Linked DNA regions of Lepisosteus oculatus. The protein of the gene in region 3 purifies or fractionates together with the protein of the main gene of each other region. This does not show direct contact. Links are inferred from orthologs where the notes say so. Each region holds a gene or a part of one and is shown on either strand. Other genes may lie near its edges.

The links. The genes of interacting proteins can lie anywhere in the genome.
Region 1: the proteins of arhgef12b (region 3) and myo6a purify together in Homo sapiens (affinity purification with mass spectrometry; 4 studies listed by BioGRID and IntAct, counting the BioPlex papers as one, with this or other methods). This does not show direct contact. The link is inferred for Lepisosteus oculatus from reciprocal best matches to the Homo sapiens genes ARHGEF12 and MYO6.
Region 2: the proteins of arhgef12b (region 3) and vapal purify together in Homo sapiens (affinity purification with mass spectrometry; 5 studies listed by BioGRID and IntAct, counting the BioPlex papers as one, with this or other methods). This does not show direct contact. The link is inferred for Lepisosteus oculatus from reciprocal best matches to the Homo sapiens genes ARHGEF12 and VAPA.

What each region holds. Positions count from the first base shown.
Region 1 is NC_090697.1:9,138,191-9,145,708, forward strand, and holds the start of myo6a (myosin VIa), read right to left. Parts: upstream 3,019-7,518; 5' UTR 2,873-3,018; intron 2,064-2,872; exon of another isoform or gene 1,939-2,063; intron 1-1,938. UniProt on the Homo sapiens protein: Myosins are actin-based motor molecules with ATPase activity. Unconventional myosins serve in intracellular movements. Myosin 6 is a reverse-direction motor protein that moves towards the minus-end of actin filaments.
Region 2 is NC_090701.1:56,563,632-56,570,852, forward strand, and holds the start of vapal (VAMP (vesicle-associated membrane protein)-associated protein A, like), read left to right. Parts: upstream 1-4,203; 5' UTR 4,204-4,283; coding exon 4,284-4,341; intron 4,342-7,221. UniProt on the Homo sapiens protein: Endoplasmic reticulum (ER)-anchored protein that mediates the formation of contact sites between the ER and endosomes via interaction with FFAT motif-containing proteins such as STARD3 or WDR44.
Region 3 is NC_090718.1:14,318,620-14,325,670, reverse strand, and holds the start of arhgef12b (rho guanine nucleotide exchange factor 12), read right to left. Parts: upstream 3,013-7,051; 5' UTR 1,307-3,012; coding exon 1,275-1,306; intron 1-1,274. UniProt on the Homo sapiens protein: May play a role in the regulation of RhoA GTPase by guanine nucleotide-binding alpha-12 (GNA12) and alpha-13 (GNA13). Acts as guanine nucleotide exchange factor (GEF) for RhoA GTPase and may act as GTPase-activating protein (GAP) for GNA12 and GNA13.

The DNA of each region.
Region 1 (7,518 bases), on a different chromosome or scaffold from region 3:
GGCTGTGGAGCCTTCTTCGGGTTTCAAAATCTTCACACCCAAAGAAGACTCCACAGCCGAAACATTGCATTTGCGTTTCTCTTTTCAGCATGGAATAAACCTTTTCTTGTTCCTTTGTAGTATACTAATAGGTTCACTTGAATTATGGAACTATACAGATAAAGGCAATTGTGGATAAACTAGGGAGACATAACAGCACATTGGTTTGAACTGCTGCCTCGTAGTGCTGGTACAGCGTCTTGGATTCCCAGGGTGCCATCGGTGTGGAGTTTCTATGTTCCTCCCATGTTCACATCAGTTTCCACCAGGTGCCCTGGTTTCCTCCCACAGCCCAAAGACATGCTGGAAGGTTAGCTGGCTTCTGTAAATTAGCCCTGGTGTAAATGGGTGTATATTTTTGGTCTGAGTGAGCCCTGCAGCTGACTGGTGTCCAATCCAGAGGTGACCCTGTACTGGACAAAGCGGTTTAGAAAATGGATGAATGTCATCAAACCACACTAATGAATTATAAGCATTGGAAGCAGAAAAACCTCCATTTCCACTTTATGACGATGAAGAAAAGTTCGAGGTGCCGCACTTCAAAAACAAACACTCCTCTCCAACTGTCGCTTCTAAGGACATCCCCACCTTTTATCAAGCTTTGTAATACACAGATGTGTATCCCGGAAATGTTTGACACGGTCCAAATTCCACTGCATGTGGAATCAGCCCTGAGATAAGGAGGTGTCGTTCCCTTTATAATAACACTGGGAGGAGCTGGGTGGACAGCTCCATCAACTGGAATCCCTGGTTGATACCGATGCCCGTGTTAAAATCAGGAGATGAGCTTCACCCTGCAACTTTCCTCTGCAGTCAATACTGTGCTGTAAAGTGGAACTCACTCTTTGCCAAGGGTGTGCACTGACACCATTCATTAGATCCTAGAGTCTAATGATGCATCATAGCTAAATTTATCTTGCCGTTAAATTAAGTCATGCATTTCTATGGTTTTTACTTTCTCTCTCCTACACCGAATAAAGCAGTTTGTGTTTTATCGTACAGTTCTGCACTGTGGTCTTCAAATGGGCTCAAGGTTTCTTAATGAATTGTAAAACCACCGCTGGCAGGAAGTGTCTGCATATTTATAGAAATAGTTAACCAAGTCCCTACTCTGTACTAGCAGCCCTTTGAACCTGAGGCTGTTTTTCCACTCCACTGCACACCATTTGCAAAAGAAACTATTCCTAATGGTTAAATGATACCCAAAAGATATGGATTTGAAGGAACGTATTACAATGTCATTTTCAAGAATTAGTTACATAGTGTAACTTTTTATGCCATCACTCATAAACCAAAGATTCCAGCTGCACACAATTCATAGCTCTTGCAGTACAAAGGTTAAGTCATAATGGTGTTTCACAAGACGTACAGTTAGACAAATGTTTATTTTTTCTAAAAGTTAATTAAATGTTAAAGCTACATCTTGCTCAGAATTATAATACAATTCAACGTAATTGAAGGCAATAAGTTTCAACCAATTTCCAGTCACCTAATATGTACTAGTAATACTGATCTATGCGGTCTTAGACGTATGTCATTCATTCCAATTTCATTCATCAGTGAATTGGAAAGATAGTTATCTTGCTATCATTGAATCACAGCAGTCCAAGTGATTTTAAGCAATACTACCTAACAGGAAATCGTTATTTTAGATGTAAAATCTTTTTTTAAATGTAGGACGTGGTGGGCACCGGTTAAAATCAACAGCATACATTTAAAATAAAAGTCAATGTTTAATAGCAGTGCGTCGTGACTTAAAATCCCACTTTACCTGCAAGTTCATTGCAAAGTATTTTTACAGTATGCGTAAGGGTAGTCAACTGCACCTTTTAAAGGCTGTCCTTAACGATTTCTCCATTCATTTTAGAAACAAACCATTCATTAGGTTAGGGGCCCTACCTCCTGCGGGTGCTTCTTCCAACTTTCCGTGTGTCAGAAATTCAGACTACTACTCCTAAAATCTGCTTTAAACTTTGAATTAAAGTTTCACTTCAGCAAGAACGCAGCGTGAGACCTAACTCGAGACGTAATATTTTTTGCCTCCGTATCTCAAAAGCTAATGGCAAACGCCTTCAGGCATTCCTGCATCTAGTTACCAGCCACAACCTTTGTACCTCCGATTTTCCTACCCAGTTATTTAACTCGAGTGCAGCTCTCCTTGGTGTCAGGAGGCCCTGCTCCTCCATATTTTATCGTCTCAGGTAGATTCATACACGCGTCCGTATCAGTAGCGGTGTAAGTTTCCAAGTTGTCAAGCTTCCCATATCCAAAACCTCTTAAGAAAATCAGAGAGCAAATCAAGTGCCATTTCTTCGGATTACTCTTCACAGCCCAGAAAAAGCTAGGATCCGAGGATTTACTCAAGTTCACGCTTAATAAAACGGTTCTTTTTTTTTTTTTGCTACCGATAACCCAAATACAAATGATGATAAAGGAAAAGAGGATGGATCTAGGAAAAAAAACAAGTCAAGCGACCGACAGACACATTTACACTAGTTTTATCTGTATTTACTGCCCGGCAATATTATCAGCGGTGCAATTAATATAACTCACGCTGCAAGATATGCAAATTCACCAAGTAAAGAAATCCCACGCTTGGATTTGTAAACCACAGGATTTTCAGAATCCGGGTCGCTGTGCTTGTGGGACTGGAAGGGAGTTTAAATGAAGTGGCAGCTCTTCCTGTGTTTTGACAGCCTCCATTAGCATCAGCATTACCGGCGAGCCTTTCCTTCTACTTTAATGTTTCAAAGCCGGAGTGCGACAGAACTGAACGACATCCCCCCCATCATCCAAAACGCTCAATCAGGCAGAAAGTTGTACAGGAACTTACTCTGTCCCGATTTTCCGAACGTCCTCCGGGGCGATTTCCTCTTCTTCTTCTTGTGCACACAGAAAGTTCAAGTTTCCCTAAGTGATCCCTAGCCGCAGATCCCGGCTCCGGTCTCCCCGTGCTCCTCTTCCTGCTGCAGCCCCGGCTCTCCAATTCGCTGGGAAAGACGTCCTGGGAAATGGCCGTGACGTCACTGGAAGAGGCGCAGCCGCGGCCGGCCGAGAGGGGGCGCTGCAGACGGGTGACTTCGTGAGCCGCCTGTGTCGGGGCGGCTGGAGATAAGGCGTGACTTTTTTAGTTTCTTTTTTTTATTATTATTATTGTAACAGCAGTGATGTATATATAATACGCACAAGAGTACATATAACACCATCAGTTGCATCTTACAAAAAAGGTTAAATGAGGCAAATAAAGATAAGGTACACACAGCTTTCATATTCTTATATTTTTGCTAGTTGATCCAAATAATATGTACTGTGTACGTAAATGTGGCTTTTGAGTGAAAAGGCGGTAATTGACTTTTGGGTCTTTTTATGGTTGCTTATTTTTTTATTATAGTTCTTGTGTGCGACTCTCTCCTAATGCCTTCGGGTCAGAAATGTAAAGATCACTTTTTCAAGAAGTTCTAGAGTTAACCGAGCGGAGCCAAACACATCGAGCACTGAAGTTAGTATTATAGTAAGCATACCATGTTGGACTAGCGTTTTTTAAAAAATGAGTTTTTTAATGCCGTGGTGGAATAATATGTAGCTTATTGCCCCCGTGTCAGTGGCGCTTTATTAAACCGGACCACTGGTTTCCATCGGTTTGTATCGTCATGTGGAGCTGCAGCTCCCCAGAGACGCTCCAGCTGACATCTGCCGGTGCCGGTGTAGTTCAAGTCACCTGGCAGCAGAAGTCCTTCGGGAAGTGTAACCTGTCGGGATCACATATACCTTGAGTGAAACTTAGTCAGATGCCGTGTCTGGCGGACCGTGCAACACCTCTTGGTTAACTCCTTAAAAGCCTTTTTGTTCGTTCCCTAAACCTGCAGCTGACGAGACACGGACCCCATAAATGATAACTGCTTTTAATGATAAAACGTTTGGATGATTAATCCAATCTGCGTGAAAGAATGAAGCTCACAATTCCAGTTGCACTGTAGTGACGTGTTAATGAGCCGTTTGTTAGTTGCACTTTATCAAATATAAGAAGCGAAATGAGTGCGAAGTGGTGTTGTTTTTAAAAGACGGAACCTGCGCCTGGCATCTGGAAGATTCTGGAAAGACGAGGACCCGGAATAGAAACATTAAACCCTTCATCACAATGCAAATTGCGCACCCAAGTGTTGATGGTAGATTCCCATTACATAGGAGCAAAAAAGACTCTATGATTCAAAAGGTGATGTCATGTACTGTATTTATAATGTGTGTTAGCCTTGCTGATTTACAGCAGTGGGGCCCCAAGCTGAATTCCAGTCTTGGGGTGCTGTCTGCGTGGAGCTTGTATGTGCTCTGCATGTTTGTTTCCCCGTGTGGGCTCTGGTTTCCTCCCACAGTCCAAAAACATTCTGGTGGGTTAATTGGCTTCTGTAAATTGGCCCTGTTTTGAGTGAGCGTGTCTGTCTGTATGCCCTGTGATGGAGTGGTGCCTTATGCCCATTGCTTGACAGGACACACTCTGGCTTCTCTGCAGCCCTGAGTTGGATAAAGTGGTTAGGGAAATGGACAGGAGGACTGATGGGCAGGGGAAGGCCTTAATTTAATCAAGGTTTAGAATTTGCAGAGGAAACTTAAACCTTGTGTCAGGTAACAAAAAAGTATAAAGCACACAAGAAAGTAAATAAAAACATTAAATAACAGAATATAATTAACACAAATGCTGTGAATATTATTGTAACCTTTTTAAGTTTTAATAAGTGATAAGTCTTAAAGGTTGTTTCTAAGTTATTAATTGCAAAGAAAACACAAACGAAGCACTTTAAGTAGCAGATTTCATTTGTGTTTAAGATTAATTAGAAGCTTGCTACTTTATATTATTAAATATATTCCAATAAAGGTCTCAGTTATCCATAGGAACAGATTCAAAGTGAATGGATATTATAAGCTTGTACCTATTACAAATAATAATGTTAAACTTATATCTTGTAATACAAAAAAACAGTTATTAATTATCGTTTATGTTGCGTTGGGGGGTAGAATTCATTAGTTCTTGTGTTTGAACACTTTGAGAGTGTTGCTAATACTATCAAGCAGACATCAACAGTTTAGCAAAAAAATACAAGCAGTTCAAAGAAAAATTAAATATCCACTTCGAGGAAATTTATGTTTCTGCTGTTGGGAGTTTTTCCAATACAGAGACGGCATCCTTCAGAGAGCACTTGAAGTGGAAATGTAAGGTGAGGTAGATTTTAACATCACCATGGTTTCCACAAGAATACAACACATGCCAATCTATTGTTCATCAATTTTTAACTATCCAGTAACATAAAACTTTTTAAGTATTTTTAAAGGAGACATTTTATCCCAGGTTGAAAGGCAATACAGGGTGAGCACATCTAATTAGCTGGACACCTGATACATTAAGCCTGGCAACTGTATCATTTTTCTGTGTTGGAACAATGAGGCAAAAACTTGTTTCTTGAAATGTTTACATGTTATTTTATTTCATTATGTTTAATCTGCTGGGTCTAAACCTCTGAGTCACACTTCATGTAAATGCTGGAAGACGTTTCAGAAACTGGATGGTACCTCATTCCATTTGATTATGATTTGATTCGTTTTAGTCATGTGGAGAATTATCTTGACATAATGCCATTTCTGTACAAAGATGTTGAAAACGTAATTACGTATGTGTTTTAAGGTTTAATGAAATACTGCTTTCTTCAGATTTATTCTTTATACATTTACCTATGCCACATTGAAGAGGGTTTTTTTGTGAGTGTTTTTGCTTGGTTTTCATTTACTGCATACACATAAATAAATTGAGAGTTTAAAATTTAATTTGCTTTGCAGCAACAGCGGCTGCCATGTGTGAAATAAGCAGCACAATGTAAGACACTATCAGCGGCAAACCATTAGAGCTACAATAAATACCCAATACTTAATAATAATAATTGTAAATTACTTTTCACTGTAAATGTAATCACATTTTAAATATCTAAATGTGCAAATATTTTAAGAGCCTACTTTCTTGGGGTCATCAAAACCACACATGCTGGAAAATCATACCATGCTAATGCCATTGTGCTAGTCCATTATAGGTCAAGTAACAAGACAGAATGAACCATTAAATGTGTTAATCTGTCACACGAATCTTGATACTCATCGCTTTTACGTTTTTGCTTTTATTTTCCGGACAGTTCTTGGAATTCCTTGAAATAACTGTGGAACTGTGTAGAATGAGTAGCGTCTCTTTGGTCCTCCCTGTGCTTGCCTGCCCATCGGGTCACCCACAGCACATTGGCCATCTCCTTGTATCAGCCAGCCTAGTTTCCAGTTCGTTCCATTCTATCCAAGGTCTTTCCTGATCACGGGGGATCATCTTCTGCCAAGAAGTTCTAGCCCTGGACAGAGCCCTCCCTCTTCTTCATCTTGCACTTCCTGGCCTCCATCTGCGGGCTGATTTCAACAGTCTGATCACTGATGTCTTCTCTTACAGATTAACCGTGAAAGTGCACTTTGTTCAGTGATTTTCCTGACTTCACCATTTTCCTGGCATCATTTGGGTGCTCTTAGTTCCTTAGCGAGCAAGGTCAAAGCTAATCGCTATCCGGCAGCCATGTCACCCTGCAACTCACAACTGACGACCCCCTGAAGCTCGGCCGGTGTGAGCCTGGCCAGCACCTGAATGGGAGACCCCCTGGGAAAAACTAAGGCTGCTGCTGGAGGAGGAGTTAGTGGGACCAGTAGGGGGCGCTCACCCTGCGGTCCATGTGGGTCCTAATGCCCCAGTATAGTGACGGGGAGACTATACTGTAAACAGGCGCCGTCCTTTGGATGAGACATAAAACCGAAGTCCTGACTCTCTGTGGTCATTAAAAATCCCAGGGCGTCTCTCGAAAAGACTAAAAAAAAAAAAAGAGTAAGTGTGTTACCCTCGTGTCCTGGTGGTGGAGGGGAGTCCCCCTTACCTGTAAAGTGCTTTGAGTGGAGTGTCCAGAAAAGTGGTATACAAGTGTAAGGAATAATTATTACCAATAATAATGGCTAATTGTTACAAAGTGATCATCTTCACCCCCTATTGCAGCAGCTCTTCCGTGCTGAGAGAAGTCTCCCCCAGAATGACAGTGCCCTCATGTTAGCCATACGTCATGACCTTCTCAGTCGCCAAATCTGAACTCAATCAAGCATTTTTATCATCTGGAACAGCACTCGTGAGGGTGTATTCCACTTCTATCAACCAGGTAGGAGAATGTTATCACTTCCCACCTGCAGAATTCCAGATGCTGGAGGACTCTCTGCCATGGAGCATACAGGCTGTACTGGCCACACATGGTGGCCCAACACCCTATTAATTGACCTTACATTGGGGTGTCCATTTTGTTGTCCAGTACCTACTGTACATACATATATATATTTACAGAAAAGTTAAACTTTCTAGGAACACCTTTACTTATGCCATGGCTAAATCACACTGCTCAGTTTGACCAAGTGTTATTTTGAATA
Region 2 (7,221 bases), on a different chromosome or scaffold from region 3:
CAAAGTAAAGGAGTAAAAAAAAGGAGAAGTAAAAAAGTTAAACATTTATTAAAATATTTAAATAATCCTCTTCTGCTTTGTTAGCTGTACTGTGAACGTCTTCTGCTTTGTTAGCTGTATGAGGAATCAATTATATTACCAGAAATGTCACCTCAGACAGGACTGTGCCAGTGGGAATTCTGCCTGTGTGCTGCAGTTCAGTCTGTGGTACCGGGACTCACATTTATAACCAAGTCGTTTTTCACACTTTGGAGGCCTAAATGCATTAAAATTTAACCCTGGAAAACAAAAATATGATATCAATGAACTTGCACTGACAGCAATATAACGTAAAATAACTGAAGGGCCATGGAAAACGTAACTTTATATACAGACTGCGATTCATTTCACAGCTTTGAAAAATCATATTATAATCATGTATTATGATTATAATAATGTAATTGATCATTTTGTACTAAATGCTTTCATCTGTAATACATGATTAGCATTATATGCTCAATTTACCCTATTTCCTTAATTGTTTCCAATCCTGAATGTCTTATAATATCTTACTATTAGCTTCCTTAATTTCACCACGCTGAAGTGTCACAACAGCGGAACCGCATCTTTCTGGCTCATTGTTTAAATTGTCTGGATGGACTGGAACTAACAGCAAATTTTTGGAGTAGTACACGTGACTGCGGAGCTCTATAAATCTAGTTGACCGCTGGCATTCTTAACGTCTGCAAAGGGTACTGATTCAGAGGGGAGAATCACAATCCACAGACAGACGAATTGTTCACTGAGTTTATTCTCTGGGTGATTAATCTTTGTCTTGTGTTAAGAGACCTGCATTCCTTAACTTCTCAAAAACCTTTCGCTACTGCTCTCAACAGCCCTGACTACTGGCTGCAGGAAGCTTTTACAAGGAAGCTTCGGTCCTGTAGAGTTCTGGCTGGTGTTAGAGAAATAACTCCACACTTTATGAGCATCACGCAGTGCAAAAGGCGTGAAAACTAAAACGTAAAAGATGAGAAAGGAAATACAAAAAGTGTATGCCACTGAATATTTGATGTACGTCTTTCAGCAAAGATATGTAACATTATAAGAAAAACCAGTAGACACCAGCAGGAAGGTATGTGCAAATTGTCATTGCTTTTATTTGTGGGCTGAGACAGGTACACCCTTCCATGTAATTTGACTCTCAATAATAGTATTGTGTAGTATTATAGGAACAAAAATATCCAATGATGTGCAGAAAGGTAAGTAGTATTGTACTCATCTGTGTTAATAATAGAAGTAGCAGCAGTAGTAAAACTACTGAACATTACATATAGTTCATAATTAGGACTGAGATTTCTGTGACACATTTTGAAGGTGCTAATTTGATACTGACAGCTGAACTACTGCATGAATCTGTGTCAATTAGCAATGTGTAGGAGTAAATTAAAAGCAGAACTACCTGCCAGTTTATTTTAAACAACTTTTGGCTGCAACAATTTGAGGACACAGATACCACAGACAAGTGTCCCTTGACAGCCTGACAGTAGGCTTTGTAAAGCTGTTAACCTGCCCTGCGGATCTTGTATACACATGTGGAAGAGAGTTTAATGAAAAGTGTCTCAACTCAAGAATACCTGGATCTTAAAACTCTTTCAGTTATCTTTGAACAGTCAGTGCAGCTCTATTATGGCTCCATATCATTAAAATAAAATTCAGATATTTCTAATAATTCAGAATTCAGGTGAAGTTTAAAATGGGGTAGATACCTGGCAGATGATCTTTCAAACAGACAAATGTAAAATATTACATGCAAATACCAAAACTATAAATCATAAATACATAATGGGAAATGCTCAGTTTGAAGAGGCTATAAAATTGTGTGCAGTGTATTATTATGAAATATACATTATTTTGTTATTAATCACAAACAGTCTTTCTTTTTCTGTAATACTACAGCCCAGTTTAAACGTGTTAAAGTCGGGTGTACACTGGCATAGATGATGTATAGGAAACAGTGATTTTGCTTTGCAGATCTTTATTTTGTTTTTCCTCAAAATAAATCTAAAGACGTGTGTGTTTACCTCACACACAGACAGTGCAGCTGCTTCAGGCTGCTGTGGAAGAGTGAAGGAATCGCCACCTGACCCCCGAGTCCGAGCAACATCTGTTGCACCAACAAAAAGAAGGGAGCAAAGTTGTACCCCTTCATGTTTTCTGACTTTGAAAACCTTTGTTGATCTTAGCTGGACTGAAAGAGGATTTCCGACACTTTGTTCCCTTTGCTCAAACTGACGACCACTGCAGGGAGCAGTCTGTGAAACACAAAGAACGTTTCCTCTTAACTGGAGTAAAACTGTCACCACACGAATTTCACTTTAGTTGCTTCACATTTACTCTGGTTATTGTGAAAGCCATTTGAGGATTTTCTCTATTTTTTTAAAAGCTAAGGGAACCACCAAGACAAAGCAAAACAAAAATGCAAGTAAAAACCAGGAGTTCATAAATAAACATGAGAACATTAAAAAGGTTCCCTACAAGAGGACGTCTTTCAGTCCAGTGAGCTTGTTTGACTGCTAGTTGCCAACAGATCCAAGGATCTCATCCAGCTGCTGTTTGGAAGAAAACAGGGTATCACTTTCAAGAATATGGCTGAATATTTTGTTCCACTCTTCCATAAAACTTTGTCTCCCATTCTCCCTCTTTTAAGGTACCTCCCCATAGTTTCTATCTGTATCCTCTTGTTCGTGTTTCACTGATGATCCTGAAGAAGCCCACTGGATTTTCGTCTGTGGATTTGCATAATTGAATAACCTTCAAAGAACGCAGAGCTCAGCAAGTTTGTTAAGGAAAATCTACCTTCTTTAAAACCATTCTGACTATTCAGTAAAACAGTACTGCCTCACACGTCTTCTTGTTTAGGAATAGAGCCACAGTAACTCATTGGGCCAGAGGTTGTCTTTGTTTCCTTAGTGTTAGCTGGACGAGAGAACAAATTATTTTCTGCTTGGAGGGGACACTGTTTCACAAGGTTTAACCCCCAGCAATATTGGTCTCTATTTACATAGCTGGGGGGACTGGAGCAACTGGAGTAAAGCACCTCAGTCAAGGTACAACAGCCCTGTCTTCAGCAGTGACTCGAAGCCAAAACCTGCCGGTCATGGGACCTATGCTATACCACCACAGTCCCAGACTCCATGTTGAAAAGAAAAAAGAAAAACAAAAAATTGACTGCTGAGCCTACTCCAAGTGTGAGTGTGAAAGAGGAAGGCAGCAGGGATACAGAGCACTGAAGAATCAAGGACACAGCAGGGTGTGAGAAAGACAGAGGTGGCCACTCCGCCTCCCCTACACTCTCTATATAACCCCTTCTGACTCCCCTGTCTTTCTCACACCTCCACCTCCTCTCTGGAATAAACCTTTAACTTCTTCCTTAATGCTAATTATGTTGGCATAACCTTCCATGTACAACAACAGCATGTGATTTCTTTATACTTTATATCATTTCCTCACTTACTTTTGTGACATAGATAGTATCTTAAATGGTTCAAATACTGCAACACTTCCTCTTCTGTATGAGTTCTGTTTAATACAGTTTCTTCCAGTATCCTCATAAACTGTGTCCCCTTCACTATACTGGGGCATTAGGACCCACATGAGCCACAGGGTGAGCGCCCCCTGCTGCTCCCACTGATACCTCTTCCACTTTAACAGTCGTTAGGGAGGCCATGTTATGGATGTCCAGGGTGAAATTCGGCCAAGTCTTAACTCTGCTTTTATGAAGAGTGTCATGGGATCTTTAATGACCACAAGTAGTGAGGACTTTTCTCATGTGTAGGGGGTTTCCTCTGACATATCAGCGTCACTGGGCACCATACTCAGGAACTTGTTTGGAAATCCTAACCCAGGAGGGAGAAAGCCACTAAGATTAGAAACCTGCTTTCCCTTAGAGGACCCTGTCCTGACCAGGCCCAACTATGCTTAGCTTCTGGGATCTGTGGTGGTCAGGTTACAGGCATCACTGCCGCATTGTACATAAAGGAGGGCCAGTGTCATAAAGCGATTTTAACCCGGGACACATACCGAATGGCCATCATCACAATATATGAAGGCATGTGGCTGCCGAGGGCGTCTGCACTGCGCTGCAGCTGAGCAGCCCTTCAAAGGGGAAGCGCGTCCCCGGGCTGCGCGTGCTCGTGCGCTCGCCCCCGCCGCCCAGTGACTCAGTGCTGCTCTCGGGGTTTTTTTTTTTCGCTCTCGCAGCGGCAGCTCGGCACCGCCATCACCGGAATTCCCCAGCAAAAATGTCCAAGCAGGAGCAGATCCTAATCCTCGATCCACCAAACGATCTCAAATTCAAAGGTAAGGACCCATCGTCGTGGCGGGGCGGGGGAGCCGGGTTTCGCAGCCGCCCCGGAGTACCCAAATCGGGGGATAATTTCGCTCCCCCCCCCCCTCCGGTTACTCGGGGTAAACTGCCCGCCGCCATTTTGAGGAAGGGAGTCGGAGTTGGTGGGCCGCGGCGGATCCGCGGTCTCCCGTGAGCCGCGCAGCCGGCAGGCGAGAAGGCTCTCGCCGCAGCGCAGCTGGCTGAGCTGCGCCCGTCGCCACGTCGGCTTCCCTTGGCAAGCACGCCCGGCCGGAGTGTGATTGTAGCCGCGGTGACAGGGGTCGGGGTGTCGGTGGTGTGGATGTGTCAGGCCCGGGCGTTGCAGGTGAGCTCCGGCAGCGATGGACTGAGCCGCCGGTGTGTGATTTTTGTGTTGTCTGTATTATTATTTTTTTTGCTACGTGGACTAGCGACGCGACAGACGGCTTGAGAGAAAGAGCAGGGATTTTTGTGCCCGAAACAGCTTTGAATCGTGGTGGCGGCGACACTCCTTTGCAGGAATAAGACTCAATCTAAGGAGATTGCATTTCACGGTTTTAGTGCGATTTATTTTGGAAGCGGTGCGGAGCATTGCGTTCCTGGGTGTTGAATGAATCCAACTTGTGCCTTTGCAATCGCAGGCAAAGCTTTAGAAAGCGGCAAGCGGAGATATTGATATTGTTTCGGACACTTTGCTCCAGATTCGCCTGGTCTTCCTTGTCTTTGTAAGTGAAAGTCGCTTATCAGTGAGAAGCAGGGGACGAGAAATGGCAAAGACGATGACATCCACGTGCCAGAAAAAAAGTAAACATTTCTGCAGTGTGATACGCGGATGTAATGGACAAAGGTGGAAACTGCCCTGAATCTGATCTCACGAACAGGGAATCACGGTTGTGAAATCTGTGCATTAATCTAAACAGTGAGCCGATAAACTGCATGGCTGCCGTTGTGCAGGAATTTTCGGAGGAGCGTTTTTCAACAATGAATGCACAAGGACATATGACAAGTCGGGAAGGAAACGAGGCCTCTCCGCAACTTTATCTGGCACGGGTGCTGGGTGATCGATCCCCCTTCACCCAAGGAGGATGGAATCTGAGGCGAGAACACGTTGTAATGTTTCTAATCGAAACCAGAATGTTGTGAAAGAGAGTTTAAAAGGTGCACATAGTCAAAGTGAAGTTACTGCACTGCTTCCTTGGATCGAAATCATCCCCAGCTCTGCAGAGCAGGTAAATTCAAGCTGGATTCGACTTCCTTATTCTGGACGGCGACCAGCTAGAGACTGTGAGACTGTTGCCTGTGATGGCATGTGTCTTCTGAAGAATATCCCGGACATTGTAAAACTCCGAGGTCAGGAGACCTTCCTGGCTACCCCACCTTCATGATAACTCTGTTGTTGTTTTTTTCAAGGAAGTTGTTTGGTTTAGGGAGCGTGAATGGGATTTTTCACCCATTCATTTCCCATCCAGGATTGAGGCAGAGCCAGAGCCAAGCCCAGCAATCAGTGAGCCCAAGGCAGGGTACGTCCTGGATGGGACGTCAGTCAGCACAGGGCACACAAACGCGCACACACACGCACTCACTCACACCAGGGTCAGTTTTCCTATAAGCCAGTTAATTTAACAGTGTGTCTTTGGACGATGGGAGGAAGCCTACGCCACCATGGGGAGAACAGACAAGCTCCACACTGATGGCCCTCTGGCCCCAGCCCTGCGGAGCAACAATACTGACCCCTGAACCACCACGCCGCCCAGCGTAATTACCATGGTATTATTACACAGAATTGGGCCAGCAAGTGCTCCGTTGAATATTAGATGGGAGGCCCTTCTGCATGTAAGAGGAGTTGCAGGGCAAGTGGAGGAGTTGTGGTGATTTGCCTTATTCAGGATGATAGCTTACCACCTTGTTACACTAGCTAGCACATGAAGTCTTCTTCTGACAGCAGAGCTTGACATCAGATGCTGTCTCAGATTCTCTGACTTTTAGGAGATGTGAACAACCTGATGTTGCTTGCATTTTTGAGGTAATTGCTCCTTTTTTGTTTCCAAGACAGGCTTCTAGCTCTGGGGCACTCTGATACATCTCTGCAGTGCCCCAATAAGGGAAACAAGGCTTTTGTTGGGTGGTGTGGCCAGTGTAGCTCTCCTTGCCCCTGCCTGGGTTCGAGCACCTGCGACTCCACTCTCTAGACAGCGGGTACTTGCGCCTAGCTTAAAGACCAGGTCTCTGCCTCTAGCTGTCAGTCCAGCTTCCAGAGGGGGTGAAGTCGAACTTGCGTCAGTGCACCGAGCCCTGTCACAGTAGCAGTAACCGTGTTACACGGTATTTCGATGCAGTTCAGATTTAATGGGGCTGTAGGCTCTGGTACAGACTGAACTGAAGGAACAGGATATGCAGGCTGTATATTTAACTTTGAATGTCTGTCTAAAATTACGTAGTTTAAAGCAAGAAACATGAGACATCCAGCACCTGGTATTGACTAACGCAAGAGCTTACTGTAAAACCTGAAATGCGTCAAGTGGCGTGGTGGTGGGAGTCTCGCGTCTGTTTTTCTTGTTGAAGACCTCTTGCCCCTGTGAACATCTGCATCTCCTTGGAATTGGACGCAGAATGTTGGATCACGCTTTGTCAGACGCCAGGGTGTGTGTCACATACTTTTTTTGAATGGCCTGCCTGCAACTTAACACAAAGGGACAGCCAAGGTGCTTTTGGCAAGCTCTGGTAGCAGATCGCTAGGTGCACCTGCTATGATGGGCGACTGCACACACCGAATTCATTCAGGACGCGTGTAATCACCTGGTGCTGCTGGCTAGGATAGACTCCGTCTCCCCTGCGACGCTCTGTTGGATAAAGTGGGCAGACAATGGAGGGGT
Region 3 (7,051 bases):
TGGGGGACCAGAGGCTTCAGGCACGGCCTTCGGATCGCACAGCTCGTGATCCGACTGACCCCCTCTCAGTCCCTGCTGGGGCACCGACACACAGCGCCAGGGGGAGACCAGCACAGAAGAGCACTGCGCTGGCTCGCTCGCTTCTTCTCCCCAGGATGAAATGCAGAAATGCCATTTAAATCACAGAAAACAAACAAAAACAAAATGAATTCGGAAAAGAAATCCCTCTCTCCACCCTGTCCCTGGGTAAATCGCTCCCCGGCACCTGTCGGGAGCAGTCACAAGCAGGTGAACCAGTCGAGTAAAAACTGACCCTGCGGACGGGTCAGCCGTCCGGCCCAACCCCATCCTCCGCCGGACCGGGACGTCACCCTGCAAGAACCCCAGGGGCGCGCAATGCAAGCCAGTCGTCAGACAGGCAGACCGCTGGTCCCTTGGCATGAGGGTGGCTTCAGTCCACATCGCCACACCTGCCACCAAAACCGCTGGGCACCAGAAGAAAGCACCGCAGGTACTGGAACAGAGAGCCCCGACACTGAGCACACATGCCCGGCGCCTCTGGGGTCTGAGCCCCAGTGCTGGGGCGCACACGCACGAACACGCAGCGGCGCGTTATGCAATCCAAGGCGCTTGTCGTGCAGACGGAACCCACTCCATTGCCGCCTGCAACTTCGCTGCGCGCAAAAGCACCCGGTCCTTCCCCACCCCGGAAAGCCGTTCGGGCTCCGCTTCGATTGCATTCCGCCCCTCGGAAATCTGAGCATGCGAGATCGTATGAGACCGAAGACGGGGGGCCCTTCGTCAATGAACGTCGCGCATATGTGTCACGCTCCGTAACATGACCGTATCGGCCACAAGGTCAAAACCATTCGGTGTGGGGAATACAAACAACCCCATCTCCGACCACCTTTCACGCAGTTCAGAAATGAAACTGAGCTTTGGACGTGCGAAGCCCACCCGACTCCCGCGTGCCCCGCCGCGCCGCGCGATCTCGCCCACCCGGCGCGGCGACACTGCGCTCGCTCCCGCGGCCCCGACAGCTTTGTTCCCACCGCCAGGTTTTATCTGCACATACTGTAGCATCGTTTCTCTCCGGATCAACGCCTGACAAACAGACTGAGGGGAGGGGTGATAAACCACATTAAAATAAAACATTAATGGGAGACATCACGCCGCGCCGTGCAAACAAACAAAAAAAAAAGACACTTTTTGCCTTGCACGCCTGGAAATGATATCAACAAAAGCCAAGACAAACGCCACCGCGAATCGCTTACCTGTCAGTGATTGTAGACTGTGTGCCGCTCATTGGGCTTCTGTTTCGAGTTTTGCTTCGGCTCTTATCCAATTAGCATTTTAACAAAAATAAAAATACCCTCCGTCTGTCGGGAAAGTAGCAGGTCCCTCCTAATATCCGTCAGGATGCTCTCTCTCTCTCTCGTGTGTGTGTGTGTGTCACAAATGCCAACAATGATACGAATATCGCTGAAGAACAAACCCCAGTGGACGAGATGTCGGGCAGACTTCTGTCGAGATTCCGCAGCGCGACGACTCTTTCTCCCACACCGGGCGCACGACAACAATAATGTAAACGGGGATCCTTCCACTGGAGCGGGAAGAAAAATTGTATCTCATATAAATAAATGGATCTAAAAATGAAGCAGATCCGGGCGATCGCTGTACAATCCTAAGAGAATCCGGAAGGGTCTGACGCGGGGAATGCGCGAAAGGCTTTTTCCCCCAAAAAAAAATCCGCAGGACGGGATTCCCGAGCACGCGTCGCCCCCTGGCTCCGTCTCCCCGCCGCCTGGTGCTCAATTCCGCCGGCGCACTGAAATTCCTATTGTGAAGGCGCTTCCCGGCTGGAAAACTCTCCTTTCTCCGGCTTCGCCTCTGTTCCCTTCGAATCCTGCCTTTACAGTCGGCGAGGTTCTCATCACACCACCGTGGGGTCCCCTCCACACCCCCCCACCCGTCCTGCTGCTGCTGCTGCGGCGGCGGCTATTTCTGTTTCTGTTTTTGTTTTTTTTTTAAACGATGCTTTTAGGAATATACATCCCTATTCGGTTTCCCCCCCGGAGCCGTGCCCGCCGTCGCTCATCCTACTGCGCCGCCCGCTCCCTCCCGACCAGCTCGGGGGACTTTCCCGAAGCCCGGCGCGAGCAGCCCGTCCCGGTCGCGCGACTCACAGCATTCCCGGCCGCGAGGACTCCCATTAGCCTCCCGGCTCCTCAGAGCCCCGCTGTCCAGAAACAGGCCCTCCTGCTTTGCCGATATTCCAATGAATAATGAAAAGGAAAAAAAAGACTACCCCCCCCCTCCTCCTCCTCCTCCTGCTCCTGCTCCTGCTCTTCCAAAAACCTGCAAATTCTTGTCCTTTTTTTTTCTAATTTTGAGATTCCCCCCTTCCCGATCCTTACATAGCAACCCGAGGCGCGCCCGCACGGCTGTGCGTGGTTTTTAAAACGCGATCTCCCCCCCCCCCTTGTTGTTTTTTTTTTTTTTTCCAGCAACACGAACTCCCAGATTTCCTCAGCAAGGCAGTCCGGCGCTTTCCAGGGCAAAAACTTTTTTGGTGTTCTCTCGATACTCGGCTTCCCTCTTATTCCCCGATCCGAAAACAGATCTTTTCCACAAAAAAGGGGAACAGCGAAGGGATGAGGCTACAAATCGAACCGGTTTCAGCTCCGGGCGACACTTCAAATTCCCCGATATGTTGGACTTGCAGACGAAATCCCTCAAACTTGCGCGGAATACCCTTCTCTCCGTGTCTCCATGTTTTTGCAATCCAGTGTTTTGCTTCTGTCCCGTTTCCCACCCTTATTCTTTCTGCCGCACGGTAGCAACGCTCCCAGATAGAAGAAACCCCTTTATTTTAAACTCTTCAAACAACAGACCGTAAACTTCTGAGTTTTTCTTTAACGGCCGCAAGTCTTCCTTTCTCTTCTTACAGTCTATTACTTTCAACAAATTGACAATACCTCCCCGATCACTCCGCCCAGACTGATCGCTCCCTCATTCCTGCGTCTACTTCCGCCCAACCAAAAACATATAATCCCAAAGAGAACTTTGGGAAGAACGGGGATCGGTATTTTTTACTAGATATCCCATGTGAAAATGGCTTTAATTTGTGAGGTTTATTTTCCTGATAATAAAGTTTTATAAATTGGACAAGAAAGTGAAATGTAGTATATAACGCGTGTTTTATTTGTGTTAATGTATCCACTGTGTCATTGTTTAGTTCCCATATCTTGACATCACGGTAAGGGAAAATGACATTTGTAAAACACATTAGAGTATTTTTTTTTTTTATTCTTTCAACTCGATGCCCAAGCAATATTACGTGGATGATGCTTGGAAACCGAGTATATTATGTCATTAAAACGACGTGCGGCAAGCTGAGATTGTATCGTGTCAAATTGTCACGGTACCTAAAACGCAGCCATCGCCTGGTAGATAGTATTGACCTCCCTTATAATTGCATCACACCCTCCGAGTTTCGCCAGGTCTTTTCTGTAAGACTGGTGGGGGCGCTTACGCTTAGTGAATTGAGTGGGTTTTATCAAGGCTGCCTGACGTTTTGTGCTCGTCAGTTCCCCGACTACGTGACAGAACAGCATGGAATGCAAGGCGCTCTGCCGTTAAGACAATCGTCTCTCGCAGAGGGTAAAGTCTGCACACAAATTAAGCAATTAAGCGGGCAGTTATCGGATCCACTAGAGGCTGTGCAGAGAGATTTATCAGGAGCTCGATTTCCTGGCTGTCCCACAGCCCCAGTGACCTCTTTCATCGTTACACAGTTGCTAGAATTTGTAAGTTTTTTTTATGTCGGAAGACATCAGAAGCCAGCACAAAATACATCCCGTGAATAATGATACTAATGCTTGTACTGGGTTAGAAAAAGGAGGTTCCTTTTTTACACAAAGAGTGGCGAGTGTCTGGAGCAAACTGCCCAGCTATGTTATTGAAGCCAGATTCCTGGGATATTTCGAGAGGTGGCTGGATCAACAGCAGCTAAACAAGCAGAGCGCTCCTTCCTGTGACTTCTCTTTCGTTCTTACGTTCGTGAAGAGAGCAGGTCTCAGCTACTCCTCCTTAGAGGGAGAGTCAGCAAAACCCGAAGTGGATCTCCTCCCTGGAGGAGGACACAAGCCGCCAGGGTTCACCTGGGAGACGGGTTAGGCGTCCAGTCGTGGTGGTGGACCGCGGCGTGTCGTGCACCTCGTTAACAAACAGAGAGAGCTCAGAAAGCTGTAAGATCGGCCCAGTTAAGCCAGTACCCAGCTGTTTAAGCCCGTGAAGAGATGACCTGGAATGAAAACCCATATACATACACCAGACCTCCAGGGCCAGGACTGGACACGCATAACGGAAGTGCTCAGACCAGTTATATATGAAATGTATTTGTTTAACCACCGTACAGTGTGGTGTCTAGGCCTACAGGATCCTGAGGCACCTTGCAGGTTCTGAACTACAGGGATCACTTTGGTGAGAAAACCTCATTACCATTCGGCCACTGACCCAGAACATAGGGCTGTATGCAGACGCTCAAGCCAGTAGCAATGTCACTCTGTAACTCACAACTGGCAGCCCCACTGGAGCTCAGCAGGTGTGAGCCTGGTCAGTACCTGGATGGGAGACTCCTGGGAAAAACTAAGGCTGCTGCTGGAAGAGGTGTTAGTAGGACCAGCAGGGGGCGCTCACCCTGTGGTCCACGTGGGTCCTAATGCCCCAGTATAGTGACGGGGACACTATATTGTAAACAGGCGCCGTCCTTCGGATGAGACGTAAAACCGAGGTCCTGACTCTCTGTGGTCATAAAAAATCCCAGGGTGTTTCTAGAAAAAATTAGGGGTGTAACCCTGCTGTCCTGGCCAACTTTCCCGTTGGCCCTTATCAATCATGGCCTCCTAATAATCCCCCTCTATGAATTGGCTTCCTTGCTCTCCTCCCCACTGAGAGCTGGTGTGTGGTGAGCGTTCTGGGCACAATGGCTGCCCTTGCATCATCATAGCTGCACATTGGTGTGGTGCAGGGGATCCCCATTACCTGTAAAGCATTTTGAGTGGAGTGTCCAGAAAAGCACTATGTAAGTGTAAGCAATTATTATTATTATTATTATTATTATTAGTTTAGGTGAGTAGCTTTGTCAGCATGCGTAGGCTGCAAAGAAACAAGTAATAGGTTTATTCCATACTCCACCTGAAGGTAACAAACCTATTTCTTGTTCATTATTATTCTCTAGAAATAAAAGTGGACACAGCCTCGCCCCTTCGCAGTGAAAACAGGGCCATTCCTCCAGGATTTAGTCATGAGAGAATCCGAGCATGCTCGCATCCCGGCTCGGGTTTTTTTTTTACTGTTTCCTACTTTTCAGTTAATGATTTACAAAAAAAGAATATTTCTTCGCAGATCTGCGCCGGATAAATGCAATGCTTATCTCCGGGTGTTATCTCTAAACAAACAAGGATCCCTGATGTAATGTCTGAAAGCAGGGCTGTGTGATTCCTAGCGCGGCCTACAAGCTGCACAGAGGTCGGTCCCGACCATCGCGATCGATGTGAACGGCTTCCTAAAATCCGATGACCAGCATCAGTCCCCCGGAAGCTGGAGAGCTCAGAGCCCCCTGGGAATTCAATACTTTTTAAAGCGCCTGTCATATCTGACGTCCTCCTCAAGGCAGAAATCAATGCAATCGCAGCCAAGGGGCTGTATGCGTTTCCGAAATGAGTAGCTGTTCATTTCTTATTAGAAAATGCTGCAAAGTTGTAAAGCGATCCAAAAATGTTTCAAGGTCCCAAGAATGACAAAAAATAGTTGAGACGTGTAAATGTTTGTTTTTTTTTTGGTTTTGCATTTGTGACCATGTAAAATAGGTATGAAACGAGACGTGCACCACATTTTATTGCATTTCTCACATAATGTCCCAGCCTCTGTCCCAGTCCTCCCTTCACGGGAAGATGACAGATGAAGAAGATTCACGGGAAGATGACAGATTAAGTCTGTAATAGGGGGTCCGGAACTTCAGTTTTACAAAAGTCGCGACGGAGAGTCGGAAGTAGTAAGATGCAATATTGATTTTAGGACGGAAGCCGGCAAAGAAGACTTCATGGTTACGAACACAAACAAATCAAAGTCAAGTTGAAAATATAAGATAAAGCACCATTTCATGTCCATCAGGCCTGCGATGCTTTTTGTTCTGGACTAGTAAGTTTACAGCCAGTGATGGGAAAAATACTTAATTGTGACCATGATCATGTAACGAACGTAGTCAAATACAATTGCTCGTGTAGGGGTCTGTTATGTTTAATAGTTTCTCTACGATAACCTCATACTGTACATGCAATACAGATCAATGTTTAAGTATTTCCCCCGACCCCAAATTCATGTTAATTTTACAAAAGTAACCCCTTACATAAGCAACTTGCATCTGAGTGGACTTTCCACTTGACTCCCAGTACCCGAGTGCCAAATTCGGCGTTTTGTTTGCAAAACTAAAGCATGCGAAAAAGTGGAGTAACCTGCCACCTACCGGACAGATGGCAATATTACATGTTTCTCTGACAATCGGAGTAATTGAACAATTCCTGACCAGATCAACTGCAGCGTTTCCTGAAAGGCAGGTAAGTAATGTAAATTGGAACCTGCAAAGGAGTTAAAGAAAGCAACAGTTCCTCGGATTTCCACTTTTTATGTGCATAAAGCATTCTCGGAGATGATTTGAGTTTGTGATAATGAGTAAGGGTGTCGCAGAGTGGCACAGTGGTTAGCATTGCAGTGCTGGGGCTCTGGGTTCAATTTCAGACCTGGGATGCTGTCTGTTTGGAGTTTGTATGTTCTCCCCATGTTCACCTGTGTTTCCTCTGGGTGCTCCAGTTTCCTCCCACAGTCCAAAAACGTGCAGGTGGGTTAATTGGCTTAAAGGAACATTGGCCCAGGTGTGAGTGAATGTGTTTATGTCTGTGTCTGTGTGTGCCCTGCCTTGGACTGGTGTCCCCTCCAGGGTGTACCCTGCCTCGAGCCCTTTGCCTGCTGGGATAGTCTCCGAATTAGA